4 linked regions of the Arabidopsis thaliana genome follow. The protein of the gene in region 1 interacts with the protein of each later gene in a biochemical or structural test. Each region holds a gene or a part of one and is shown on either strand. Other genes may lie near its edges.

Region 1 (7,753 bases):
AGAGAAATTTAGGCACATTCGAAATTTAAGCGAGACATCGAAGTGTTTAAAATATAGAGTATGTTATTAAGAATAAAATAAAACCAAAGAGACACGTCCATTTTCTCCTAGAAATTGTTGAGGCAATTCGAGACCGTGGTATTGTATATACCAGTATACCACTTTTTTTTTTTTTTTTCACAATATACCACTTCTTATGGATATTGTTATTCGACTTTGAGATACTGATGTATAGAGTGGGAAGTTAATGACAAACAAATGGGTGCATATCAATATCAGTATATATCGTGAAGAAAAGGGAAATCATAAGATTAGGCTTTAAATTAGCATTTGACACACAAGTTGTTTAACTCCTGTGCTTTGGTAGAACTTGTACTTTTTTTTTGATAAAAATGTAAATATCAATTCAAGAAATGAAAGATTCAGGAATTACAAAGTAAATCCTAAAAACATGGTTCCATGCCAAAAAAAGGTAGAACTTGTACTTTCGCCGGTTGTTTATATATCCCACTTATTCTTTTCAGATTGCTTACAATATATCACAATTCGACTGCAGATATTTATTATAGAGTATATGTTTTTAGAGATTCGATCTTGATACAAAGCGATGAATCAGAGTATTCAATTTCATTATATAGTTGCAATATCACCGAATCCGTTCTTATTATTTATTCACTGTGGATCTTGAATTCTCTTTATAATTAATAATTAAATATGGAATCATGGATACCTTCATTTTTAACTTTCGTTACTCACTATGAAAGTCTTGTGTGACAAAAAAAAAGATCCAATGTTTTTTACATATCACCATTCTCCATAATATTATTACTTGTAAAATGCGTATGAACCACGAATCTTGTGGGGCCGAAACGAAAATCCATTTTAGATCTTTTTCCATTTTTTGTATCGAACGCATACTGTAGCATCATTCGTCTCCCTTTGACATAATGATATGCGTATCTTTGCATTAAACGTTTATTTTCATGCATGTTTGTCTTTTTTTGTTGTCACTGACGATTGAAAGCAACACGACCACAAGTGGTAACTAACTTAAAACTATTAGTCTTATACGACAAAACGTTTACCAGGCGTGATTAAATGAATAACACTTGATGTGAACTATAACTAACTTATTAGACGACCAGTAATAGATGACACGACACATTATGGAAGCATAATAACTCAAATAGAAGATGTTGTGACATGAGTCCTGACATGCAATAACAAAAAAAAAACGATAATATCAAGACACAAGAAGTTTGAGTTACAATAAGTTCATCATTTATCATCATCATCATCAACAACATAGATCATAATTAAACACAATTTTATACAATATACAATTTGGAGCTCTGATAAACAACAACTATAACAAAAGTGCCCAAATAACCATGTATATACACACATAAGCGATACTTGTTATCAACTTTCGAATTTCCAATAGCACAGAACTTGAGCAAATCTAGAAGATTAAGAGATCCTCCTTCACGTTGTAACCCATCTTCTCTAGATTTGGCTGCAACGCAAACTGAATCATAGGCGGTGGTCCGCATGCGAGTGCTAGCGATTCGCCTTCCAAACCTTCAGGGATATGTTCCCTAAGCACAGCTTCAGTTATAAACCCGGTACTGTAACTCCAACCTTCCTTTGCGATTTCAACGACGTACCAAATCTTTAGCCTCTCCTTATGCTTACTAGCCCATCCTTCTAGCTCTTCCCTCACAAGAATGTCATCCTCGGTTCTGTTTGCGTAAACCACATACATCTCGGTTTCGTCCTCTGGATCACTCAATATAGATTGAATGATCTGGTAGATAGGAGTGATGCCTGTTCCTCCGGCGAGCATTGCTAGTTTCTTGGCAAACTTAGGTTTGCCGCTGACCAGGAAGTTGCCTTTGCCTTTGTACTCGATGTGCCCTAGTGGACCTTTGATATCTATCATTGACCCGATTGGTAACGAGTCTAAGTGTTGAGACATGAGTCCACCATTGGGAAACCTTGGATGAACGTCTTTGAAGTAAACTTTGACGACGAGGTCGATATGACCAACCGCGTCGATGGCGCTGGTGGGAGTATAAGCTCTGAGACAGAGTTTGTCGTTTATGTTGGCGCAAACGAAAACGTGCTTCCCCACGGGTAAACCAAGCTGTTGATCTTCTGATGGTAATGCGAATCGGAACTTACGAACGTCGTGCGAGATCGAAGTCTTCTCAATGAGCCTAACCGGGATTTTCTCACGTGGGTTGACCAAAGCAATGTTCTTTTGAGGAGTTAGCTCTTTGATTGGAGCTAACAAAGGACCAAAGTTTGAGGCACCATGAACTGAGACGTTAGGGGAAGAGTCGTAGCCAGTGGTGATGAGTTCACCGATACGGTAATCTTCCAAAAGCTTCTTGGCTTTGTCAGAGTGAATGGCTTCAAACTCTTCGGTGCAATCTGTACCTGCGTTTATCAGGATAGAATCTGTGCCTCCTGGATGATCTTTCAAGAAACGTGTACAGTCATAGATGTGACCGTGGACGATGATCCATGCAGAGTCAGCAGTGTTGTGTTTTCTAACTTCAGAGATTGAATACATCTTCGAGGCAGTGTTCATGAAAGGAGATGAGACAGATTTCTTCAAGGTATTGTTGGATTCTGAGGAAATCTCAAGCTGACGCTCCTTTGCCATCCACCCACCCGACTGGTTTCCGGGTCTGGTCGGGTGTTCGAAAACTATCCCTATCTCTCCTCTATGAGGCTTGCACACGTTGGTCCTAATCCTGAACCAGCAATTGTTCATCATCCCCTGTTTAACACAAGTCAACGTCGTTATTGCTTTAGTCAACATCGTTAAAAAAATAACAATTAGCTGGAGACCCTAGACTTAGACTTATGTAAATTTTATATAATTTCGATTTTAATCTACATAATTGCCCCGCATGAAGGGAGATTATAATACTTAAACGCACTACTAAAATGAACTGTACAACAGAGACACTTAAAGAATTGGTCTTTAGTTCCATGTTGATTAGTGCTCTATTAAAAGATTCCGTAAGATTAGTATTGGTAGGTATCACGTTCAAAAGAAAATATCATCAGTAGTTCCAACTTTGTAGGACGAATACAAATATCAAAATCGAATAGTTTACTCAAAAACAAGATTAAACTATTTAAATCATATAGTAAAGAATAAAGTAAACTAATTAATTCTATAATTTAAAAATATCAAGAGAGAGGATTATTACCATGAGGTTCCAGATGAGTTTATCAGGCTGAGTATTGAAAGACTCGTCCCAGGCTCGAACCGCGACGTCTTTAGCACTGAGCAGATCAAGAACCTCAACGTCAAGTGACCAGAAACACCAGCACCAGAATTTACCGTACTTGTTCGGTTTCTCCTGGTGGTCAAGCTCACAAACACTCCACGTGTCTCCTCCGTCTAGAGTCACCTCAACCCTCGTTACCTTCTTACCTCCTCCTGTTTATTTCATCAATACACCGATCAGGATTTTAATTACATAGTAAAGAATCCTTTTAACTTTTAACTAAAGCAAAGTTAAAATAAATTACCAGAATAAGCGTAGCCTTTTAATGTGTACGGCTTCTGAGTAGTGAATGCATTAATCGGTAAAATCTCTGCGTGACCAGGTGTTGTAATCACCGAGTTTATATTAAGCTCGTTGATTATGTATTCAGGCTTATACCACCAAGCTGTAACAAAAACAAGTAAATAATATTAGCATCGGTAACTAAAATGTAAAAGAAGACAAGGGTAAGTTAATAGTTTACCTTCGGAATTTGCCAGCTCAGCATCAACGAGAGAAGGAAGGACTCGATTGTCTTTATAGTGATAGTAACTGTCAGATTCTTGAGGCGTGACGATGATTCTCTTTAACCATTTAACCATCCGACCACCGATGAAACCCGGTACAATGACCCGAACCGGAAACCCATGATCCGGCGTTAAAAGCTCGCCGTTTTGCATATAAGCTAAGATAATATCTCTAGCCGGATCCATCGCCATCTCCTTCTTAATACTTGTTCCGTATTTAGATCCGCCGCCGCCGGGAAGATCCTCCGCTCCTTCGAAGCAAACGTTTAACGCGCCTCCTCTCCGGCTATAGATCCCGCATCGACGGAGGATTTCGCTTAACGGAATACCTTTCCATAGAGAAGTAGATACTCCGGCGGATCCCCAATTGAATCCGATCGTTTGTTTCACCATGTTCTGTTCCTTGCGGCGATTACCGGCGCAGACGAGTGTCACCGGGAATTCGCGGCTGGGGAACTCGGAGATTAGCTCTTCCATGGTGAATTTAGCCGGACGTTTAACGAGTCCGGTAATTTCGATTGACCAGTCTGACCAATTCGCTTTGGGAACTGCACCGTGGTTGCGGACGTAATGGAGTGGAACTGGAGTGATGAATCCATGGTGCATAAGACGAGGAAGAGGTGCTTCGGCGTTGAATGGATGTTTTCCGGTGAGACGGAGCATGGATGAGTTACGTTGAATCCAACTATCAGCCGTTGATTCATCTCTCGGATCTAAAATCGACGGTTCTAAATCGCTGTTTGATTTTTTAACCAGCTCTTTGTAGTAAGGGACGTTACGGTTATGGCTCTCGTCTTCGTCGTCGCTTGAGGAGTCGTCGTAACTGTCTACGACGGTGGTGATGACTTCGGTTTCTTTGACGATTTTAGTTTCGGTGAGGATGACGTCGAGAGTTTGGTTTTGGTGACGGTGGCGGTCGAATGAGCGAGGAGAAGGAACGAGAGGAGGTTTGAAGGCGTGAGCGACGCCGTTCATGGTGGGATAATGGCGGTTATCGACGGAGGTCGCCATGGTTTAGTGATTGAACCGGTGATAAGAGAGAGATAAGCTATTTTTTTGGTTTTGGTTTGGTTTGTGAAATTTTTTGGTTTCTGAATGAGTAAATGAGAGGTTGTATTTATAGGGGGCGTTACAGAGATGAGTAAATAAAATAATTAATAAATTAAGAGAGAGGAGAAATTGACAAATGTGAGTTTGTGTGGTCGCTGAGTAGAGGGACCCACCTACCTAGATCCTAAGGTTTGGCCTTTAAGGCGGGAGATTTTTATTTCATAGGATATATATATTTGCTTTTAAATACTAATGCGATATGAAGTTAAAAATAAAATGCGGGTCTAAGGATTCGATCCGTGGGCAATATCGTGGGAGGGTACTATGATTATGATACCTCTCTCACTCAACACTTAACTTTAATACAAAGAAAGAAAAAAATTGTGACAAACATATGCATAGTTTTCTATGGAAAAAAATTATATCGTCAATAGCCAATTCATTTCTTTACGTTAAGTGTTGAAATGTTTACTGGTCTTGATCATAATTTAGCTAGTTATTGATAATATAGTTTTGTTAAAAGTTTCACATTTATGGTGTCGGAATTGTTTGTGGCCATTTAACAAGAACATATTATTTATTTTAGCGTAAACCACAGTGGAAAAACCAATTATAGACTGCAAAATATATGTAGAATATGAAAAAGCATGTTCATGCATGTTTATTTCTTTAGAGTTAATGTACTCCGACACTGAAATTGGAAAAGTCAGAGAAACCCTATTGGAGTCTATACGAAACTTCCAGGAAGTACTTTATGTAATAAACAAAAATATTGCACTTAAAAAAGAAGAAACACATGCCTTCCCTTGAAGCTATAAAATTTAATAAATTGAATACGAACAACAATCGAGTAACCACGGGCAAGATACACCTTTCTCTTGAGGAAAAAAAGCTGAGATAAACCTTCCCTTGGATCCACAAACATGGACTCTTGTATAAGCAATGCTGAGTTCTTTTTTCTCTTCCTCACTCACTACTAGTTCTTGCTAGGGAATGTTCTAGCTAGCTAACGTAACGTACTTACGACATAGATATAAAAAATACCCATCAAAAAAAAAAAAAATAGATTTGTCTATGCAAAATACTGGGTATTCTCTTTTACAATTGTAAAGTGCGGATGCAGCGGAGAGTAAATTTTGGAGAAACTTGAATTTTCAATCGAAGCACTAGAATGTTTTTTTTATCAATGTGTCACGGCGACAAAATAGTTTATTTATTTGGAATATGCATAAGTTAATGTGTGCCCCCCAAAAAAAAATGCATTAGTTAATGTAAAACAAGAACAATATTACCTAGTTTTATTCCACAAATATATGATATGGCAACGAACTTTTCGATAATATTGAATGATGATTAAAGACAAAAGTAACACGTAAACTTGCTCATAGTTTTGGGAAATTGTATGTTAATGAATGCAAAATATCATAGATGTATGACTCAAGATTAAAAGTACATCACGTGTACATACATATTACATAAAAGGGTATTAATCAGCATATTCACAGATAGATTTTGTCTATATTGACTTCAATTTCTTAAAATCAACGTCAAATTAGACGTCAGTGTAATAATAAGAAAATGGAGAGTGAGAATCCTGTGGGCTAAAACATATATGTATGATATGATATTGAGCATATTGTTGACTAGTTTAATATAGAGAAATTGTATTAATTAATTAAGTCGAGAAAGTAAATATCTCGAAGATTTTTATGGATTACATGACGATTAAGAAGATAAAGCGCAATTAAGTATAAACTAAACAGAGATTATGGTATAAAAAAGGAGTTTAGAGAGAAGACTTTGGAGGCTAAGTGGCGCATGGGAACACCAACGGCCAAGCAAATACACGAACGGGGCAACCAAACAAAGGGACGGGTCGTAATATTATTTTTGTCACTTGTTTGAATTTTCGATTTTCTGTTTTGTTTTGTTTTCTACTAAAATGGATTTTCGATTATTAGATTATTAATTATAAATGATACATGTGTAAGAACGTATGGACCCGCTAACTTTTATCTTTTGCATCCGGTGTAATGAAATAAATTCAAGAGTCAATTTTGGTTTTAAGCCTTTATGCTAGTAAGTAATAATCAACTTTGCACAGAATTTATAATTATCATGTCATAACGACATTTTCAGTAGCGCATTATCTTGCAAGTCATGTTAAAGTGAACTATATACCCGAACTACCAAAATGAACCCACAAAAAAATCCAAGAAAAATGGATAAAACGCCGAAGTTAACACCAAAATCGTGACCTCAAAATTTATGAAGTCGACGGCCATGTGTCGCTAAATGAAAGCGTGAGCTCACTGAAAAGCCGGAAACTTAGAAGTAAGCTGCATGTGCTTATGGAAAGGGCGGAGCTTATTCAAAACCGTTTGGCTTCTAATAAGCAAATGGGAGGTGAAATGAATTTCAAGCTCTCGAAATTTAGTCCAAAGACTACGCATTCATTTGTGATGCGTCCACTTGTTCATCAAATACAAGAATTTTCTCACATATTAATTTACTTTTTTTGATTAAATGCTTGTCTACAAAGATCTAGGAGTATTTGACCCTTTTTGATATATAAGATCCGAAAAACTCTTTTTATGAATCAGAGAATGCACAATATATATCTGTTTTCTGATTTTCTGCCCCATAATTCACAACTAAATTGACAAGATAGCTTAATTCTTTTTGACGTCGGCAACATATAGCTTAACTCCAACATATGCGTATATAAGCTTCAAGCTTGTCCTCATTTAGCTAGAGTAATGGCGACCACTAAATTTGATATGGAGATTTGGCAATTGTTACACGTGATCACGAATCATGAACGGTAAACCACTGAATCCCCAAGAATAATTTAATTCCAAAAAAAAAAAAAAATTATTCTAAACTAAA
Region 2 (6,493 bases), on another chromosome or scaffold:
ACGCTAAATATCACGTTTTAAAACGTTTCTTTGTTTAGGGCTACTTTGTTCCTCTCTCTGTCATGTTAATCTGGCTAGATTGTTATGTTTATGCTTATTATCTTGTTACCAAAACATTTCTGATGAGGCGAGTCGCAGATGGATGGTTCATTTCATTCACCAGAATGGCATGCAGCTCGTTTGGCCAGTCTCAAGACTACACACACTCTTACTTGGGAAGAATATAAGCAGAAGCAAAAGGTATAGCTGCTGATCGATAAATCGATGTTTTTAGGAGCATCGACAGATAAGAAATGTTTCTCACTCTATATGCTTCATGTGACCGCTCTTTAGGAAGAAGAATTGAAAAAGCAAGAAGTCGAAGCAGATACCGATAAATTGATGCGTGAGTATAGAGCTCAGCTAGATGCTGAAAGGGCAATGAAGCTCTCTAAGGGAAGGAACTATTCTAGTGACATATCCAGGAAAGGTATACACTTACAATAAATTTAAGCAGATGGAATGTCATACAATCCGCAGTTCGAGTCTTGCTTTTCTAATATGCCATTTGATCTTACAGATAGGAAGGAGAGAGAGCTCACAGATAGAAAGTGCAGAGATTCCAAGAGGAAGAAAAGCAAAAAGAGAAAGGTGCTTACATAACAACTGCATCGAGTTTAGTTTGAACATCTTCTATAATTCTGTTGGCTTGAAGCTTTTAGCTTACATTGTGTTTATTGATTTGCAGCATTCGAAAAGGCGATCATCAGACTCAAGCTCATCTTCTGAATCTTCAAGTAGTGACAAAGACGAATCTAGGAAGTCAAGGTCAAGTTCTAAGAGGCCAAAGAGGGAGAGGAAACACAAGTCTAGAGGCAGACACTCAAAACCAAAGTAAAGATGAGGCTGATGGTCCTGCACCACAATCAAAATTCTTTGGCAGTCTTAAGAGTTGACACAGTGCAAGACTTGAGATTGTGTTCATCAAATGCTCAATTTTCACCCCGAGGACATGATTTGTACTATCCTCATCTCCCTGCAATATTTCTCTCCCTGCTGTTTTATAAAACAAGAAAGCTGACAGTAATGGCAAGTATTTTGTAGAGGAATTGAAGGTGGGCTATCATAACATAACTATTTCTGAGACAATTTAAGTCTTAAATAACTGCAACAACAAAATGAGGGCAAATTACAAATACGAATAGGAAAAAAAAAAACAGAGAGAACAAATTATCCAAAAGACTGAAATATAAAGTTTGAGACCCATCCCCTTCAACATCTCTCACAAGTATACACAAAAGACAAACAATGATCTTTCCTCCTTTTAAGAATGTTGTCCAAACCAAATAACGCCAAACCCTTATCTCATCTTCATCTCCCAAATGCTGTTCTTCAAACTATTGCTGATATTCTGGATTGAAAGCAAGCGCCTCGCGGTAGATTAGTTCCTTCATCTGCTCCTCTGAGAGTGCATGGTTTTCAAAATCAAAGTTGAAAGGTATTGTACACTCTGGCTCATCGCTTATGTCGTGCAACGAGTTCAGGTATGGATGGGCCAATGCGTCTAAAACTGAATCAAGAATCGAGAATCAAGAATCAATAAGAGGTGATGACTACTAACTAACTCTTAAATAACCAAGAACTCATTATTATTATTCCTTCACTAGATTGAATCTTTTTTCGGGATTTTGGAATGATCCGTACAAGCAATTCCAGTTATTTTGCAAGTTAAAAATGGTATAGAGGTTAGGGACTAACCTGTGATTCTCCGTCTAGGATCAAATGTTAACATCTTCTCGATAAGGTCTATAGCTAAAGGATGCACTGTCGGGAACTTATCAGTGATGGATTGGCGAGGATAAGGTGGAAGCTGTCTTATGTATCGCTTTGCGTTTTCGTTCAAGAACTCGAGCTCTTCTTCTGATGGAGTTCCTATGAGCTGCAAAAAGAAAATGGTCTCGGTCTGTTTCTTTAGTGCTTCAAAGCTTATTTTTGGGTCAAAGAAGGGTTACTACTTACCTCCATGAGCAAGCGAAGCTGATGGACATGATCTCGTCCAGGGAAGAGTGGCTTACGGTCCATTAACTCCATGAAAATACAGCCTACAGACCAAACATCGATAGCTGCAGTATAATCAGAAGAGTTTAAGAGAAGCTCTGGTGCACGGTACCATCTCGTGACAACATATTCAGTCATGAAATCACTCTCAGAAGTGACTCGAGCTAGCCCAAAATCGCAGATTTTTAGGTCGCAGTTTGCGTTCAGGAGGAGATTACTTGGTTTCAAATCCCTGTGAAGCACATTTGCAGAGTGAATGTATTTCAATCCACGGAGGATCTGGTAAAGAAAATACTGCACAAAGAGACAAGTGAAATGGAGTTCAATTAGTCCCCGTTTTCAAGTCGAGTTATATAGGTCAACAAACAATCTCAAAACTCAAAACCTGGCAATGTTCTTCGGATAATGCTTGATTTGACCGAATGATTTGATGGAGATCAGTGTCCATTAACTCATACGCGATGTAAACATCGTTGAAAGCGTTTCTTAATGGTGGCGGGATAATATCTCTGATTGCAACAATCTGATTTAACAGAAAGATGGTAAGTGTTTTATCAATCGGAAATGTTTTACACGTTGCAAACGCCAACATAGATAAACGGTTACATTTTACGATTTGATTTCTAGAATTTAAAATCTTGACGCAGATGGAAAAGATCATACTACTGAATAAGCGCGAAACAATCCGTATCAAACCGAAAAAAATACAAGCACACTGTGTCAACATTCATGTATATTCCCTTAAATCTAAATGCAATAAGCAACCACCAGATACAACACATTCATACACAGAACCTAATCAGCCCATACAATATCAATCAAATATATACATCATCTATTTACCTAAACAATTTTGCATCAGCTAGTAGTTACCATGTTTCGAGTGTATTTAAATCTACAATCCTATTATGTTCTACATAAGACTCTATAAACAGATGACTCTTAGTTAACAAAGAAAGAGCAAAAACTGACATTTTCATGATCCATGTGACGAAGCAGCTTGATCTCACGGAGAGTCCTCTTAGCATCAATCTTATTGTCAAAAGCGTTAGCAATTTTCTTAATCGCAACGCTCTCGTTAGTTTCAGAATTCATAGCCGAACTGCAAAATCAAAATCAAATAAAACCACAAAAGGATAAAGCTTTCATTGAAACAAAAATAAATCCCAATCATAATTAGAGCTCAAAAACGATACAAAGGAATCAATTTTACAAATTGCGGATCAAAAGTAACCAACTTTACCAAAACCCAATCAACAAAAATCATTTTTTATTTCAATTAGAAGCAAAAGCCAAAAATCAAAAGAATCGGAGAAAAATTACCAAACGATGCCATAAGCACCCTTGCCAATAGGCATGATCGGAGGCTTATACTTAGCGGTGACCTCGAAGATGTTTCCAAATATGTTATACTGAATAAACCTACCACCATGGCTAAGAGTCGCCGGAATATTCTCAATCCCAGGCATCTGAGGCGATGGAGCCGCCGCGGGAAAACCTCCAGGAGCTTCTGTCATCTCTGTATCAGCCGCCGGTTGACCTGAACCACCGTCCATGACCGGTAAAGATGAAAGCTTTTGAGGTTGGTGGTGGTGGTGGATCGAGAAGAGGGAAATGGAAAATCTTTTTTTTTTTTTTTTTTTGTAATTTTGGGGTGAGTGAATTATGAATGAAATTGGAGAAATTGATATTCGTTGGTTTTGGGGTCAAAACAGATCTGAGAGACAAGAAGTGAAAGTCATGTGCGTACGGATCTATTAATTTTTTTATTTTTTTTTGGGTCTTCACTTGACCCGTGTGTGTAAGCAAGCAAGCAAGCCACTGTTCAAAGTTTGATCCTTTATTCTCATGTTTAACACTGTTATGGTTACAAACGGCATCGTTTTACATTGACTTATCACCATTTTTTTTTTTGTTCCATTGACTTCCTTCCTTAATCGTTATCATTAACAAGTAACAACAGCATTTTTTTGAATGTAAATGTTGGGTGAAAATGAATCATAGATAAATGTAGTTATTATCATTGATATTATGTTTTTGGGTTGTACTTTAATTTTGAGATTATTTTTGTAACATGAAAAATCGCTAAATTTTATGTAGATTGAAAAACACAAAAACTTATAAACCGCCAAAAGTTATTAGATAGTATCTAAATTAACTATTTAAGTATTTAAAGTTCTCTATCAAGAATTTCGATGAACTTGATAGTCGTATAGTGTGAATGAGGCCACAACATGAAACATGCTTGGTTGAGGGTTATTTGGATTTTTAAAAAGTATGGTGGTTCAATTTGATAATATTCCAAAATTACAAGGATCATCTCAATATTTTTTACATAATGAAGCAATAAATCTCTTCTCTTGTGTTATACAGTTGGGTTCGAACTCGAGACGGCTTGCTTTCTGCCTCTATCCCTCTTTCACACGAGAGCTCTTACTGGGTTTAGGGTTTTCGATAGATTGGTAAGTGGCCACGACACTAAGCGTCACCGAACCAGTTGTCAACTAAATAGGGAAACTTTAGGCTTCTGTCGCATTTAGGCACGATTCTCTGTAGAAGAAAAAAATATCAGCTTTGTTGTATCTTTCGGATTTTCGAGTGATCATCAAACCTTCATCACCAGGTTCCTTTCGATTCCATTTTAATTTTGTGGACTTTGGAGTAATTTGCTTAAAGAACCAATTTTTGATTGATATTTTCTGCTCTCCTTTCATTTTGACATTTTGATCTGGTTTTGAGAACTTTGGTTGAGTAACAGTAGCCTGCGTTTAAAAGATGTTAGCTTTGGATGTATAGATGTAGAGTTAGGTTTCTAATTGCCTTTATTTTTGCTTTGGTTGATGATTTATGGTTGATTGACTCGTTAAAGGGAAGTGCGCTGATTTTGTGGACAATTATGTTAGACTGATGGGCATGAATGTGACCAATTGATTTTCTCTCCGTTTCCATTATGATGCAGAAGAAAGTTCTATTTTGCTGAAATGTTTTGCAACTTTCAGTTGTTCATTCATACCATGATTGTACTCATCTTTGATCTCGTTGTGAGTACTATCACTTACTCTTGGCGTAGTAGTTCTTAGGATGAGGTATAAGTATAACAATTCGAAAATTCGTCGTATTCAATCTGTGTAATCTGTTTTTCACTATATGAACAATATGTCAATGTCCTGCGATGCCTCAGGGCTTCTGGAGTCACTTCTGCAATGTTAAAAAGAGTAATCAAAAGTTGTTATATCATGCTTCAGAGTTCTCTCTTGTTATTCCTCATCTTAGTATTTATGAAACTGTGATATTGAAGATATAACATAATCTAATACTTCTGATACTTGGGTCTCTTCTGTAACATGTGACACATTGGATCTTGCAGGTTAAAGACTTTGAAGTAATGGCGGGATTTCCAGGTTTTAGTTACCTAGGCCCAAAAGGCAAGAACACGGTTGTAGCTGGTGGCTTGACAGCTTTTGTTTTTGGGGTATACTTCTACACAATGAGGGCGGTTGGTGGCACAGACGAGCTTCAAGTGGCTATAGACAAGTTCGAAGGCCAAAAACAGGTGGACACTGACACCAAGGTTCCATCTAAGGTCTAATCCTCACTGGCTTGATATGTCCAACCAAACCCGTTATTTATCTTTGCTTTCCAAGCTTCTTTTGTCACGAAAGTGGCTCGTTTCTGACATCGAGTGGCATCTGTGTTTGAGTCTCAGTCCAATCTATAATACATTGATTAAACAAGAGAATGTATGATCAGGACATGGTTTTGATGTTCTTGACATTGTCTTAAGTTCTCAACTTTATCATACTCTTTGTACCTAAACGTTTGGTCTAAGCTAAGGTGTGGCTATCCATAAATTTCTGTTACTACGCCGTCAAAATCAATCAAAAGAAACCCAATTTGTCAGCCCAAAAAACATGCAGGAGATGGGTTATTTTGACAAAAAGAATAGTATCGGGTTCATTCCGTCATAAAATAGGGTCTTATCAATATTTTGCAAATAAACCAAAATTAAATACAGACTTGTTTAATTTCTGAATCTCTCTCTTCCTCTTTCTCGCGAGCTTTTTCTCTCTGGGTTTAGGGTTCCGGTAATTTTGCGACGACACCGAGCGATTCGTGCCTCCCTCCCCTTCCTTTGACTTCGGTGCGTAACTTCTTTCTATGTAGGGTTACTCTTTTAAGTAATTTCGTTCTATGAAGTCTTCTGCTGGAATTTTGGTATCTATCAAGCTTTTTTTCTTGAACTCTTCACTGTCTGTAATATAATGGGAGGTGAATCATGCATGTATGTTTCGATTTTGAGACGAATCGAGCTGCTAGTACTAAATTTGGTGTTAGTGGTTGCTTTGCTTTATGTCAAAATTGAATCTGTGAGATCTCTGTAACCGGACTTGAAGTCCTTTTTTCGTCTCTGGTGCAAAACCACAACAAGTTTTAGAGAGATATCGATTTCTTAATG
Region 3 (5,857 bases), on another chromosome or scaffold:
CAGCTGATATTGTCTTCGGTGTAGACAATGGCGGTTGCACTTATAGCTCCGGCTAGATATGTTGTGAAGAAAAACCAGTTGAAAAAGCTTCCTTGGTCTTTAGTTTTTTCATACTGGTTCGCACCAGCAGTTGCTAATGTGAACCGTGTCCCACCTGTTCCTATAGAGGCTAGAGTTATGGCCGTGTAAAGGACTCCGAGCTGGGTTTTCGAAGGAGACTGGCATAGTATTGAAGCTGTTTCGCAGGGTCTAGGTCTTAAAGTGTCAAGTGAAGCAGTTAGAGTCAGTAGAGCTACACCCTGGTCAAGAGTAGAATTAGTGAATTTCTGTTTCAGAGAGAAACTGATAAAAACAAATGTCAAGGACTCTTTATTAACTTTACCATAAGAGAAATGAAAGCTGAAACTGAGATAACAGGAATGGTTCCAAAGAAAGAGTCAGATGCAATGGCTGCAACAGCTGGAACCATACAGATACAACCACTAACAATATTAGCAATCTGAGCCGCTGCAATGCTCTTCACGTTGAATTCCTCGATCAGGTAGACGATCAAGTTAAGTAACCAACCCCACGCAGCTATTGTCAAGCCTAACAACGTAGCTGCACCATAGAAAGATAAGATAAATTCAACTTCTTCTTCCAAGCTCTAATGGTTATGAAGTTATGAGAAATATAAAAACAGAGAAACAGAATCTCTCACCTATCATAAACGGAAAGGTAATCCAACCTCCACCACGGCGTTTGGTGCTTGAATCTGCTGATATCGCTGTTTCTGCATCGCCAGTAACTGAACTAGCCATGTCTCAAAATCAAGCAGAAATCTTTCACTATTTTTGTCAACAATGGCCTGAAATTCTGAAACATATATACAGTATAAGTAATAATACAGCAATGATGACTTTCTCGGGTCCACGATATTTTATTCTCCATGCGCAGCAGCTTCAAATAAAGAAACATTAAGAAAGTAAAACAAAAACTCAAAGGTTTCCGTTGATGCAAGTTGAGCCATCACTGTCTGCTTCGTAACAGCCTGTGTGAAGACAACATTATTTCCAACCCAACGTTTTAGAAGTCAACTCTAAATTGTCAGACAAAGGATATTACAATATTACTAAAGAAAGACACATTTGTGCCTAATTATTGCTAAGGAATTGACCATTTCTACTTCAATAATGCAAGCTACCTAAAGCCAATCCCACTAAAATCTATTGAAAGTCATTGAATGAGAATAGACAACTCACGGCGACAGCATTGACTCTGGCTCTAGCTCTATAATGTCTCCCACAAATATTGAGGCTCTGTACATTACAAAATTATATTCTCTCTTCTCTTTGTTTACTAGGGAAGACTCAAGAGTATGTGAAGTAAAAAAGTCTATAGATATTCTTTAATAACTGGAGTACTTTACATTGGAGCTACACTTAATCACTAGCAGTAAATAACATGAACAAACAAATAAAAGTTACAAGATTACATATGTGGAAGAAGTACATGAATAAAAGAACAGGCAAAGATACTAAGTAGCCATTCGGATGGTTATTGGGTAATACCAGGCATTCACGGGGCTGCTGCACTTCTAACCGTATGTTGGATTGAGTGCTATGGCTTCTTGGTAGATCATCTCTTTTATCTGTTCCTCATCCAGAGGCTGTTGTTCGAACTCAAAAGAGAATGGCTTTTGACAGATTGGCTCATCATTCGGGTCGTGCAATTTAGCAAGGTACTGGTGATTCAGAGCTTGTTCAACTGCACAAGATGGTATTTTCAGTTTTTAATCAAAACATAGTGATGGTAAGAAAAACCAACAGAGAACATGTATGAAACTTACCAGTGATTCTTCTGTTGGGGTCAAACGTCAACATTCTGTCAACAAGATCAATGGCCATTGGGTTAACATGAGAGAAAAGTTTAGCTAAGGGCTGACGTGGGAAGTTGGGAAGTTGCCGGATGTATCTTTTCGCATCCTCATTGTGAGTAAAACCGAGATCAGATTCTGTCGGTGTGCCAAGCAACTGCAAGATTCAAACAAATTCATCACATATTCCGTGAAAAGGCAGAATCTTTAAACCATGCTAAAATTACATAACTCTCTAAAATATTTTACCTCTGTCAATAAGCGCATTTGATGAACATGGTCTTTACCAGGGAACAAAGGCTTTCTATTCATAAGCTCCATAAAGATACAACCAACAGACCAAACATCAATAGCAGCTGTGTAATCTGAAGAGTTCAACAGAAGCTCAGGTGCTCTATACCATCTCGTAACAACATACTCAGTCATAAAATCATTCTCTGAAGTAGGTCTAGCAAGACCGAAATCACAAATCTTTAAATCGCAATTCGCGTTCAACAGAAGATTGCTCGGCTTTAAATCCCTATGAATAATGTTAGCTGAGTGGATATACTTCAGTCCTCGAAGTAGCTGGTACAAGAAGTACTGTTTCCATGACAACAAAAACACCAAATCAAGTATCAGTTTCATGTCTCTTCTATCAAATATAAATCCCAGAAAAAAGCCAAGAACAGTTTTTAGTTTACCTGACAGTGTTCTTCTGATAAACTCTGGTTAGATCTGATGATTTGATGAAGATCAGTATCCATTAATTCAGTAGAGATATAAACATCACTGAACTGTCTTCTTAGTGGTGGTGGAACAACATCTCTTATAGCTATAATCTGTTGCAATACCAAATCAAAAAACCCTAATCATGATTTATTTACTAATTTCTACAGATATTTCACAAAATCGAACAAAAACACTAACGTTTTCATGATCAAGATGACGAAGAAGCTTGATCTCACGAAGCGTACGCTTAGCATCCATATGATTATCAAAAGCATTAGCTATCTTCTTCATCGCTACTAGCTCGTTCGTCTCCGTATCCAACACAGAGCTTCACAAAATCAAAATCCAGAAATTAAAAACTCCGATCTCAAAGAATAAAACTTAAGAAAAAGCTCAGAGAAGGAAACATACCAAACGATTCCATAAGCTCCACGACCAATTGGTATAATCGGAGGACGATACTTAGATGTGATCTCGAATAAACTACCGAAGATATCGTAACTTATGAACTGTCCTCCGTGAGTTTCCACCGCCGGAAAATCCGTGTATTGGCCACCGCCGGTGTTCATTTCTCTCTCAATTGATCAAAGTCGAGATTCAGTGGTTGCTTTGAGGTTTGAAGTAGTGAATCTGAAGGTATTTGTATGGTTTTATATAACAGTCGGAGTCAACAGAGAGACTGAGATTGAGGATTGAGCAGAGATGAGTTTTCGCGGTAATTGCGAGGAAGAAGATGAAGAAGAAGAAGAAGAGAGAAGAGGGAAAGGCAGAGAAGATCGTGTGGTTGAGATTAGAGCCGCCTCAAATCGACGGTTTCTGTTCGTTGTTGACTTCGTCAACGTTCTTCCTCTTCCTAACGTCCTTTACGGTTCTGTATCTATCTATCTGCCATAGTTAAATAATGACAATAATAGTGTGGGGATTTTAGTAATTGTAATCTTAATTGGATCATATTCGTTTTAATACGATCAATAAATTAATTAATATACTCGTTTTATTCGTTCAGGAATTAAAATTTTGTATTGTTTTACGTTACGTAAAATTATATAACACTCGTTTTAAGTATTGTATTTTATGCGATTAATTTATTATAAGTATTGAATATCATGTGTGGTTTACGATGGTTAATAATATTATTATTATATAGACTAAATTAGTTTAAAAACAAAAGATACTATTCAATTATGATTTTTAAGTAAGCTATTTTCGATCAGAATTTTTTTATTCTCTTCTTTCTCTAAAATTTTGAGAAAAAGAAAAAATTCTTTGTTTCGTATGCCTTCCCGTATGTTTGTGAGGTTGTGTTCGGACATGGTCCAACTTTTTGTTTCAATACCGTACGGTGAGTTCTAGTTATAGTTACCGGTAAATCCGGTTTTATCGTCGCCGTTCTTTGGTATTTTGCCTTTATTTGTCTTTATTTCTAATAAACTTATTAAGTTTCTTCATTACGAAGAAAAAGTGGAAGTTTAAGAGTTTCGGCTTCATAAGCCTTGTCGTTCAAATTTTGTAGTAGTTTCACTTGATGGGCATGGCGACGTTAAGTCTCACCGGAAAATCTTTTTGGTTGCTTACGTCATTGTGATGCTTCATGCTACTTTGGAATGGTGGACGCTTTCCTTCATATGAAAGAAAGTTTCGTTCGTTTGTTAAATCTGAGTTTAATTTCGTTTGGAAGAGGAAGACTAGATGTGCAATTTCTTTAGAGGGTCTTCAGTGCTCTACTTGAAGCTTCTGGTTTTGCGGAGTGAACGAACTTTCGGTGGGTAGGCGTTCTTCGATCTCAGAAAACATGCCGGCAGTGGTTGGCATTCTCGACAAACACGTTCTTCTCGTCACGTGTCTGTGATTTCCTCATGAGGCGACACATGTCTCTGTGTTGTATGGCTTTCTTATCCCTTCCTCGATGGGTTACTATATTGGGCTCGGTTTGACTTTTGTTGTTGGACTTTTGTTTTAAGAAGGCTTTGTTTTAAGAAGAAAGAGATAGCAAAATAGGCAAAATCTCTATTTGCGCAAATTGGTTTTGGAGTTGAGAAGCGGATCTTTGTGGTTACTTTTCGTTAGGATATCTGTGTAAGAGGGCCTTGCAGAAGTTTTGGATTGATTGGATTGCACTCATGGCTCCATCAGATCGCGTGTTAAGTGTAAAGGTTCCCCGAATGGGGATTAAGTGAGAGATTCAGTTTCTCCCTTTTTAGTATCTTATTTTCTTTTGAGATTTCTGTAAGATTTACTCTTTCAATAGTTCATTGTTAGTTTACAAATTTGATTCGTCTTTTACCGACCAACATATACCATTTCATTTCCAATGAAAGCAGACAAGATAAAGCAGAACTTGCAGATTATGAAAATGTTCAATTCTGAGTAGATGAAAATTAAAGGAGATTATCTATATGTGTTTGATAATTTAATATCGTAATGCTCATTAGCCTATCGAATTCTGTAAGTGGAGTTTTCCACTATTGTAACACTTTGTTGTTATATATCAAAGCCAACACTTATGAAGAAAAAAAAGTAAGCTATTTTCGAGTTCGAACAAGATATTAATATTTAGTTTACAAATTCCTCTAAATAATCGTATGCGCTATATAATTTATGTTCCAACATTATCGTTAAAAATATTGATTTTGTTATGAAATTTATTTAAGTTAGAGTTCTATTTATGTTAAGGAATAACGATGCATCGTTAAACTTCACTGGATTATAACCTTCTAAAACTATTCCAAAGTCATCTAAAAGTGATTTCAAATACTTAACCTTATCAAAACAATGATTGTTTAAATTAGTTCTAAACTTTAAATCGAGTACTTCCTAGATGGACAAACGAAAATCATTAGGTACGGGCAAAATCGAAAGCTTATAAAGAGCTTCCAAATGCATGTGGATGATATTTCCCTTATGAACACTCTTTTGAAAAGAATGGCCTAGTCGTTTATTCCATTGTTCATCTGTAGAACGTTTAAAAGCTTGAAACTTGTGGACTGTTCAAAGGTTTTGAAGCAAGTCTCCATTGCAACAACTTAAAATGAGTTCTTCTTTGTTACATAAACTAATGATGCATGAGTGTGTTCTATCACTTTGTTACTTTTTCAGCTTAAAATAGTTTATCCCATATTCTTTTGCTTATTACTTTTTTTAGCTGTATTTTATTTTGAACATTGAGTTACTCTTAGATACAAAGATATATATGAAGGATAGTATTCGTGTATGTTTATGTTTTAATTTACGAGTAAAATATTTTCTGAAGTCACATGTTTGAGTTTTGTTGTGTACAGTATTCTTATTTGT
Region 4 (9,301 bases), on another chromosome or scaffold:
TTTTCGATTCCAATTGGAGTCTCTGTCGGAACACGAAGAAATGAGAAGGAAGAAGAATGTGTTTTTTTTGTTTTTTTTGAGTCAAAACTTTTACCCAATAAAGTGAAGCCACGTATGGGTTTCTATTGGGTCGCGAAAAACCCAATTTTAGGAACGCTCCTAAATGGATTGTTCTGTTTTTCTTTCTGTTGGGCCCATTTTACTTAGAAATCTAACATAAAAACCCACTAAAAACCATTGCTGGACTTGGTCTAACACACCACGAACCACATCATTTTGCACATAAACAGAATACAACGAGCACACTTGTCCAGGATGAACAACGAAAGGATTGGATTGGATTGTCCGCAAGGATTAAGCTTATAACAGTTGTTATATCCTTAAACGAGCATCATGTAGTACTGTTGTCTTCTTTGTCTTTGGCAGAGAAGTATAATGCTTCTGGGCTTCTGGCTTTGACCATAACCATGAAGTTAATCACATGCAACACAATTTGCAATGGAGGAGAAGAGCTGAATTTTTCTAATTAATAAATAAAATTTGGAGCCCATAATTTACATTGCTATATCTCTCTATAGCTCCTGGCTTCGAAGTAATTTTATCATCGTCCACACAAAAAAAACCTATTTCGAGTATACAAACTACTAATTAAATCGGAACCACTGTGCCCACTTTTCTTTTCTATCAGAGAAACTAAATCAGCCAGTGCTTCGCTTTGCAAATTACATCCTGCAGTGTAGCAGACAAGGCCAAGATTCTGAACCGATATTGAAGAGAGAGTCAACAACATCATACAAGTGAAAATATCAATACCGGTTCAATTCTTGCCTGCACAGAGAATTATGCAAATCTTGTTTAAACTCCGGTGTCTTGTCTGATGATCCTGTTCATTGTTCTGTGCATAGCGTTAAGAATCAAAAGGAACACCGAATCATCCCAAGAGAGACACAACAGAACAGACAAATCAGGAAGAATATTACTCAGAATCCGAGTCAATGGAGAGGTACATCCGAGGTCTTACAGAACGCTTCTGGCGAGGAAATGAAAATGGATTATCTGATCTTTGCTTCTTTGCCTTGTCTTGTCTACTGTCATTCATACCCAGAAGCAACGACGCTGCAAATACGCAGTAATAGTCAGTAAGTATACCACATGGACTATGGACATATATAAAGTAGCATATTCAAAGACAAAATACGCCACATAGAAACTAAAACAGATATTTCTTCTTCAGTTGTTTATAAGACCTAGCTAGCAGCTTAGTAAAGTGATGAAAAAGGTAATGCAACATCAAGAACATGGTCCACATTTTTAGGTCCCTTTGATGTTTTCAGGAAAGCATTAGTCTCAGACAGGGAACAAACCAGTCTCTGTTGTAGTATCCATAGAACCTTCCCTCGTAGACATCTGATGGCTTGAGTTAATCCCGTTTGTAGTTGCAGGATCTCCATGATTCCCAGAGGCGCTATCGCCTAGCCTAAGCGAGATCCAGTCTTCACTACGGAGACCATTTGACATATCAGCTTGGTTTTTAAAACCCGACTGAGCTGAAGCATCTGGTTTTGTTGGCAAAAATATTTGAAGTGAGGGATCGTCTCTACCAAATGCAAGAGGATTGTCAACTAGGCCATCGTTTGCTTCAGATCGGCCAGTAGAGCCAGGAACCACAGGAACAGATGCCATTGATGTCTCAGGAGCCATGGTATAACCTCCATTTATTTCAGGAGAACAGTTTAGTGGACTATGATGATGCAAACCAACTAAACCTCCTGAAACGTCAGCATCAGATCTAAATAGTTGGAACCCAGGGGCTTCTGGAGTTTCAGAAGGAAATGACCAAAGGGGCGTATCAAATTCATCATCATCATTGAAAAGACCTAAGCCTGAACTTCCCCCAGCTATGCTGTGTGGGTCCTCATTATATGAGTTAATTATTCCAGGAGGGTTCAGTGGAAAAGTAAGTCCACCATCTGTTTGACAACCACTGTATGCAGGCCCTGGAGTGATCACTAAATCATTCTCGTCATCAGAATCACTCAGAACGATGACTTCATTATTTCCACCCTCGCCAGATTGGTTTCTGTCAGGAAAGTTATAACCTGAATCAACATTCATGGAAATGGAATCAAGTTCCATGCCGTTGGCTACAAAGTCAAAAGTTCCAATAGCATCCTGGTTTACGCTTGCATCATCACCATCCCTACCACTTCCAGTAGCACTACTACTCATTGGTATAATATTCTTCTCCTGATACCCAACCTTTTCTTGCCTATTACTGGAAGATAATCCATTTGTATTAGGTTTGCTAACTTCCCAAATGCCATTACGATTCTTCCTTATTCCAAGTTTTAGCGGGGCTGGACCATCTGAGTAACCTTCTTGCTTAACCGGTAACATTTCCATCTTCCGTTTAATATCAACAGCAGAGGGGCAAAGGCTACCATCAGGTGCATGCCACTGTGAGAGTTCCCCCAGTTCCCTTCGCTCACTCTCTCTTTTGAACTTTACACGCCAAGAACCATCAGGTTTCACTTCAATTTCAGTCACCTCTTCATCACAATGCTTCATCTGTCGTGCAGGAAGACAACTACTGAATAAAAGCGTAGATACAAAGATTTTAAGAATTCTTGAATTCCCATAAGAATACATACCTTAGACGTGATACGGTTAAAATAAGGATCGACGATTACATGCTCCACTGAGTAGTTCTTCAGACAAATAGGGCACTGCCACTGCATGTTAACAAACCCCAGAACAACTAAAGTCAGAAAACAAGAGACATAACCCAATATCTAGACAAGGATAGTAGACCTACCTTTCTGGAACGTTGATTCAACTCCACAAACACATCAAGGTCAAAACAGCCCATGTGCACACAGGGTAAAAATCTCCCAGCAACTTTTATCCTAGAACCGCTCATCTAATGACGCAAACAGAAAAGACAATAAAAAAAATTCAGTCTGCAAGATAGCCCTAGGAAGAGGATAAGTATAAAAACTGGGCTACGAGCTATTAGTAACTTACAGGACACCGAAGATTGACACCGAAGAAATCAGCAACAACTTCAATGTCACTATCACTGTCGGCATTATCATCTCCACCTCCACCTCCAATGCATCGGCGGACACGTGCAAGAGCATCTTCAAAAGTCTCCCCTTTACCCTCTTCTGGAATCAAATTTAGAACCTAGATGCAAAAATGAGTATATATATAAGCAACTTGGAGATCATTAGATCATTAACGTACAATATGAATTCCTCTGTATACAAGAACACCAACAAAAGTGATAAATATATTGATTAAAGGGATAAATGTTGCAGCACAAGGACAGACTACACTTCCGTAACCAAATCTCATACAAGGCCAGGCTCAGTGGCTCATATACGTGAAATATAGGAAGAAGAATAGGACTGTGAAATTTGAAATCTGACTAACTTTTCTAGATTTAGTGGGAGTGGGAAATAACATGGGAATAGTTTAACGTAAGTGTGTAACCACAGGTAACTTCCACAAAATTACTTTCTTGGGTACGCCAACATAATTTATTCTTTCTTTTTGTATTCAGAATATTAATTTCGTTCCTTTTTGAACATTTATGTTTGGACTCTTCATTGACCACATATACGACCAAATCTTTGAATGTTTCTTATGCATATATGTTATCAGTACCTGTTGTAGAGTCCTGCGCTTCACAAGTCTGACCCCAAAACAAAAAATCCGAACGTCACCTCCACTCAAGGATATTCTGTTAACTCCATCCCTAATACAAGATGTAATCTGCCAAAATAGTAAAATGAAATGGTTAAAACTTACATCACTGATTGCTAGATTTTCAATGTATGAGAGATTGACTCCTATATGTAATTCAAAAGGGTTACTACTCAAAAGGGATGATAAAAAACACACAATGGGTCCATCGTCGCGGCCGTTGACTCCCAAAAGCTGTCCTCCAGGTCGATTAATTGCACGTACAGGCACACCTATGAAATGATAGGGTATATATCATGAATCCCACATCAGAAACATACACAGTCTTATTGAGTATGATCAGAATAACAGACAAATAAAGACAATGTGAATGTGAATGGAATGTGCCCACAGGAATTTATGCAACATGAAATAAAACAACATTCCCCTGTTTCAAAGGAAATGCTCAACCGACTAAAACTCTGGTCGATGTCATTGTCATACCATTGACCTGCAGATCAGCATACTGAGGCCACTGCATCCTAAAGAGAACTTTATCATTCAAGAGCATACACCAAGCCTAAACAAAATTGATTTCCAGTTAGAAACGTATAGGTAGATACACCTTGACATATTAAATGTAGTTTACAAAACCCAACCTGAACATCGTACTCTGGTTTGGCCAAAAGGTCCTTGTCTGCCCTTGTGATTTGAAATGTTCTCTCCACACTCTGCATTGTGCTTGCACTGAAAAGTTTTGGATCGGAGTATTAGTACAAACAAAAGCCAGTAACAGTATTTCTTCAGCAGGTGCTATGCATATAGCCAGGAAACAATTGTCATTCTTGAAACTAGAATGAATGTCTTATACCAGTTCCAAGTAGAAAATTTAAAGTCAAAGTGACTTATAAAGTACCAATTCACACAATAATGGCACTGAAAGTACACTCGTTCAAAGCAATAGCAATATCAAGAATATAAAATTCTTACCCATCATTTGGGATAGTCGTTGCAGTCAGCCTCACTGGAGAGAGTGGATGTGCCACTGTAACCCAAAATCTGAACAAGGAAACCATGTAGGAAAACCGTGAATAATCATGCTATAGGATATCCACAGGTGCTAATGTAAAGATAGGAAATAATATATAAAAGAAAATTGACAACTATGAAAACAGTACTAGAAGAAGAAGAACAATCAAACGCAAAGAAACTAGAATGCAAAGCATGTCAAATGTATAAATATGTCTTTCTTTTCAGTTATGGCAGGAAAGAATCATAAAGCAGTGAGGGAGGAACTCAGATGGAAAATCAATCACATATCAAACTTAAACTCAGACAGGAAAAGTAAAATCCTTGAAACACATACGGGTCAGCTCGAGTAAGTCGGCAGATTTCACAATAAAATGATTCCGGAAGTGGTGGATTCCCATCCATAGGCTTATCTGGGAGAATAACACAGCCAACATGCTGCCAAACATGGCATCTTGGATCCTCACACTGAAATCGGAAGAAAAAAAACAAAAATTACAGCCAGAAAGTATCACCAAACTTCACAAATGTAATCAATGATAAATACATCACACCATCGACCATAAAATACAAAGAAATTGTCTACAGTCAGCTCAAACAGGAATAAACGCAGTGAGTTCATCCCAGATTACCTGTATCATTGAGTCTGTTTCTAGCGAGTTTCCACAAACACATCGAACTTTAATTTCTGGTTGGAAGGGGTCTTCAGGCTCTCCCTTAACTTTCAGATTACTGGTATCTGAACTCACTTGTCCTTTTGATGCTAAATCACTTGCCCCAGATACTTGCATTTTCCTATGGAACACAATATAAAATTAATGGTAACAAAGAACCGCCACAAAAAGCATGGCATCTCCTAAGAAATCTATTGAAAGAAACGAGCACTCACCTATATGTATCGTCCACTAATTTGGCAACTGCTTCCTTTGCCACTGTATTCTTTTTAGACAACAACCTGGCAGCTGTCAGTAGGGAATGAAAACGGAAGCTTATTAGAAGAAGATGGCAGAGCTAGCAGTGACTCTTAATACACCAAAACGTGAATAAACAAAAGCAAGTGGTTCATATAACCTTGTTCATCAGAAAGAAGGGTCAAGATCCGGTCGACAAGTTCCTGCACAAGAAAATTTCAAAAAGAAGTTAAATTTTTTGGTGAAAGAATAAAACAGATAACACTCTTTGCAAGGTAATGTCTTAGATTTATCTTGGAAACTGCTATATAGCTCAAGACAGCAATAATTATCACCCAAAACATCATCTTCTCTACTATAATCATTCCAAAACAATCACAAACATAATCACGACCAATGGAAGATTAGAGAACGATACTAACCTGCTTCTTTCCCTGTTTCGAAAGTCCCAGCTGAGTGAGCACATCCTTGAGCTCTTTTATCCGAAAATATGAAAGTTTTTCCTGCAACCCACAACAAAAACACAACGTTAAGCTTAACTAGAGCAAGACTAAATTCAATAACAGCAACCACGAACCATAATCCAAAACCCTTATGAGATAAAGGATCGTTTTTTACTCCCAGCAATACAATCTAGATCATAAACAAAACGGAAAAGCAAAGCTTTTTTGAAACATCCACTCTATATACCAATCAACACATTCATAACAAGTTCAAATCAACAAAAATTATAAACCAACAAGCATCCATAGATCTTTCAGACAATAATACCTTACAATTAGCTTCCAAATCCATGTCTTCAACACCAGACACAAACAAGAACCAAAAGCTCAGTTCAAAACACACGAACCTAAACTCCAGCAATTAGTCTCCATACAGCAACCGATCTAAATTAACAGAAAAAAAAGAAGGAGTTACTGAAACGAAAACCCTTGAAATTCCAAAAGACAAGACCTTTAAAGACTATTAAACGGAAAATACAAACCATGAAATCGGATACTTGATCAAACCCTATCGAAATTGATAGGTTAATGAGAGAATTGAGATGATTAGAAACTAGGGTTTTCACAGCTACGATAAGATTTTCTTTGGCCAAGGAAGAGGAAAATAAAAAGACAACCAAACCCAGACGAAGAAAAATCGATCCGCCGAGACGAAAACAAAACAAGGGTTGCCGGACGAGTCGCCGATTATCAAATCCGGTTTAATTTTCGCGCAATACGTCCGGGTTTAGTTCCTGTGTGGTCACGTGCACGGTCGTCCCCCCCACCAATATTGACGTGTTTTTGACTTTCGGTTCTCACACCACTTATTTACGACCGTAACGGAGTCTTTGTTATTTTAATCGAATATTCCCCACGTTTTATGACATCAGCCGTTCGATCAGACCGGACCGGTTTGTTATATTTTAACCTCAATTTGTTTATTTGCCGGTTTATAGTATATATCAAATCAATTTGGAAGTTTATCATCCGAAAACATGGTTTTCCATATGTCTCTCATGGCATATGTAGATATTGTATTATTTGATTCTAATTCTTCTAAGTAAGAATTTGGAAACATATTTCATGTCTCTTTTCTTCATTTGTTTTCATTGAATTGACATAGAATGTACATTGAATTGACATTTCTCACCCTCGCTAAATTCATTGAGAATTGTGGCTCAATTCTTCCATATGTGCATTATAGTTAAACTACGAATAAAGGATACAAGTGAGCAAAACCCTACTTTCAAGTTTCAACTAGTAAATCTATCGAATGGATTGCTAGACCGGATAATTCATACTCATTACGGGATGGTTCGTAAAACATGTGGGAAATTATCTTATATATCCACCAAATATTTGAGGTCTCGTAAGCATGTGATCTTGCAAATTGATACGTGGACCAAATTAGATATTGGACACATTTATATGTTCTTTCTATATGTAAAAAGCTTCATTCCGTGTGGAGTTCATTTGTTACAAGAAATGAGATATTATAGATATCAAATAGCATGAAGCTCTTTCTTCAACACTATTTCTACATACAAAAAAAAACATTATATACCAATTAGTGGTGGACTTCTGGTGATAAGATTTGGCTTTTTATCTTTTTGGATGCTGTGTTTTGAACAATGACTTGTCGAGTTTGAACCAAATTTGGTGTTAACCCGAGATATTAAAAAAAGGTTTAATTAGACCTATAGATTTTCCTTGTTCTGCTTAATGAAGATTCTAGAGTAGTCGTGAGCTGGTCTCATTGACTTGATATTTTTTTTGCTTCTAATGGAATGAGATATCTTGAGTTCATGATGTGGATAGTTTTCAAAGATTTGTCAACCTTTTCGTCTTAACATTTTTATATGTCCCTTGTCAAAGGCAAAGAAACATATCGAAAGTAAAAGAAAAGACATTTTTTTCTTGTGGGTGAGAATCAAACCAAACTTGTGAGAATTCTGCAAACGTACACAACTCTTAAATTGATAAAGCTTTTCTTGAAACTTTCAGGCTGAGGATGTGCTGCTAATCATGTGAGCTCCTTGCTGAGCTAACATTCAAAAGACCAAAACATATTTGAGCAAATAGCAAGAACCTATCTTGGAACAGATTATCATTTTAGGTAAGAGAAGACGATCTAGAGGCTCAAACCAAGGTCCTCTACGGAGCAGTTTCATTGTTTTTATGGTGTTACTATGTAAGTAGAAAGAGAATAGTTTATGAATATTAAGATGCATCTTTGTTAGAGGGTGATTATTGAACAACTGAAATACCTTGATCTCTCCGTATTAAGATGCATATATAAGGATTGCTACGTAGGAGAGATACCGTCACCACTAGTTAACTTCTTAGAAGAGGTGATGGCGCTATCTCTCCTGCGAAGCAAATCTTTATTTGCAGTTTTAAAACCATAGAAGAAGCAAGACCACTTGTATGTGTAATCACTCTATTAGTATCACCTCATCCATATATATATTATTACCTTAAGGTCAAAGAAGAGTGGACTTAATTTACACTGTCACTATCTTTGCTCTTAAATCATAATTGTCATTTAGTTTGCTGCTTTCTATGTGGCTACAATCAAATGATTATCAGGATTATTATCCCAAGTGAGGTCATGTTGTTAACGTCATCTCCAATGATTTGGCATTACCTTCATTTCCAAGAATTCACATTGATAAGTTTTTTTGTGTGTGTATATACTCTGTAGTTTATTTGAGCTCTTGATTTTGCATCTATACACAGATGCTACATATGTTCATGAACATAGATAGTGGAGAAAATTTTGGTACTTATCCATAACTAGTCCTTTGTGACCCATGTTACATATGTTGGTACTATGTCTCAAAAGCAATGACTTATCCATAACTAGTCCCTTGTATAATGTTGGTACTATGTACTATGAACAGCTCCTGGATTGTCACTTTGTAGCAAGTAGATTCTTGTAACACTCAACCATACCAACTAGCATATAATATTCTAATTATAGGCATAAATCTCAACAAAACACTTTTGACTGCTAGTTTTTAGTCTTTTTGGAGACCAAATTTCATTGTTAAGATTTGATCAAAAGGTATTATTCAAGTTATATGCAAATCATTGCAAGATTTGTTCCAATAATCATCAATTCCAAAAGTAAATGCCTTTGTCTCATTGTTACCATGTAATAAATGGTGAAAGTGATGTTAAATCTTG

Evidence for each region.
Region 2: the proteins of NIA1 (region 1) and MPK6 form a complex in vitro, tested with the Arabidopsis thaliana proteins (one study listed by BioGRID).
Region 3: the proteins of NIA1 (region 1) and MPK3 form a complex in vitro, tested with the Arabidopsis thaliana proteins (one study listed by BioGRID).
Region 4: of the proteins of NIA1 (region 1) and SIZ1, one has a biochemical effect on the other in vitro, tested with the Arabidopsis thaliana proteins (one study listed by BioGRID).

Annotation. Positions count from the first base shown.
Region 1 is NC_003070.9:29,234,543-29,242,295, forward strand, and holds NIA1 (nitrate reductase 1), read right to left. Parts: upstream 4,943-7,753; 5' UTR 4,826-4,942; coding exon 3,772-4,825; intron 3,694-3,771; coding exon 3,553-3,693; intron 3,461-3,552; coding exon 3,228-3,460; intron 2,789-3,227; coding exon 1,463-2,788; 3' UTR 1,179-1,462; downstream 1-1,178. UniProt on the Arabidopsis thaliana protein: Nitrate reductase is a key enzyme involved in the first step of nitrate assimilation in plants, fungi and bacteria.
Region 2 is NC_003071.7:18,135,577-18,142,069, reverse strand, and holds MPK6 (MAP kinase 6), read right to left. Parts: upstream 3,825-6,493; 5' UTR 3,594-3,824; coding exon 3,361-3,593; exon of another isoform or gene 3,140-3,360; coding exon 3,010-3,139; intron 2,561-3,009; coding exon 2,423-2,560; intron 2,332-2,422; coding exon 1,999-2,331; intron 1,919-1,998; coding exon 1,738-1,918; intron 1,550-1,737; coding exon 1,377-1,549; 3' UTR 1,082-1,376; downstream 1-1,081. Other genes in the region: AT2G43795 (corepressor), read left to right, coding at 139-240, 334-469, 564-630, 728-935; AT2G43780 (cytochrome oxidase assembly protein), read left to right, coding at 5,019-5,078, 5,405-5,626. UniProt on the Arabidopsis thaliana protein: Mitogen-activated protein kinase (MAPK) which regulates abscisic acid (ABA) responses in a MAPKKK20-MKK5-MPK6 cascade involved in root growth (e.g. root cell division and elongation) and stomatal response.
Region 3 is NC_003074.8:16,754,196-16,760,052, reverse strand, and holds MPK3 (mitogen-activated protein kinase 3), read right to left. Parts: upstream 3,483-5,857; 5' UTR 3,461-3,482; coding exon of another isoform or gene 3,269-3,460; 5' UTR 3,136-3,268; coding exon 2,978-3,135; intron 2,895-2,977; coding exon 2,765-2,894; intron 2,677-2,764; coding exon 2,539-2,676; intron 2,438-2,538; coding exon 2,105-2,437; intron 2,013-2,104; coding exon 1,829-2,012; intron 1,747-1,828; coding exon 1,577-1,746; 3' UTR 1,179-1,576; downstream 1-1,178. Other genes in the region: NAXT1 (nitrate excretion transporter1), read right to left, coding at 1-299, 383-600, 701-800; AT3G45645 (uncharacterized protein), read left to right, coding at 3,269-3,460. UniProt on the Arabidopsis thaliana protein: Involved in oxidative stress-mediated signaling cascade (such as ozone). Involved in the innate immune MAP kinase signaling cascade (MEKK1, MKK4/MKK5 and MPK3/MPK6) downstream of bacterial flagellin receptor FLS2.
Region 4 is NC_003076.8:24,292,347-24,301,647, reverse strand, and holds SIZ1 (DNA-binding protein with MIZ/SP-RING zinc finger, PHD-finger and SAP domain-containing protein), read right to left. Parts: upstream 6,888-9,301; 5' UTR 6,613-6,887; intron 6,515-6,612; 5' UTR 6,423-6,514; coding exon 6,399-6,422; intron 6,131-6,398; coding exon 6,050-6,130; intron 5,831-6,049; coding exon 5,788-5,830; intron 5,679-5,787; coding exon 5,606-5,678; intron 5,512-5,605; coding exon 5,349-5,511; intron 5,185-5,348; coding exon 5,054-5,184; intron 4,747-5,053; coding exon 4,678-4,746; intron 4,435-4,677; coding exon 4,347-4,434; intron 4,268-4,346; coding exon 4,192-4,267; intron 3,981-4,191; coding exon 3,907-3,980; intron 3,778-3,906; coding exon 3,670-3,777; intron 3,187-3,669; coding exon 3,025-3,186; intron 2,921-3,024; coding exon 2,816-2,920; intron 2,733-2,815; coding exon 2,652-2,732; intron 2,569-2,651; coding exon 1,365-2,568; coding exon of another isoform or gene 1,348-1,364; exon of another isoform or gene 1,117-1,347; coding exon 981-1,116; coding exon of another isoform or gene 977-980; exon of another isoform or gene 896-976; coding exon 856-895; coding exon of another isoform or gene 818-855; and 2 more. UniProt on the Arabidopsis thaliana protein: E3 SUMO protein ligase involved in regulation processes. Mediates SUMO/ attachment to PHR1, a MYB transcriptional activator controlling the phosphate deficiency responses.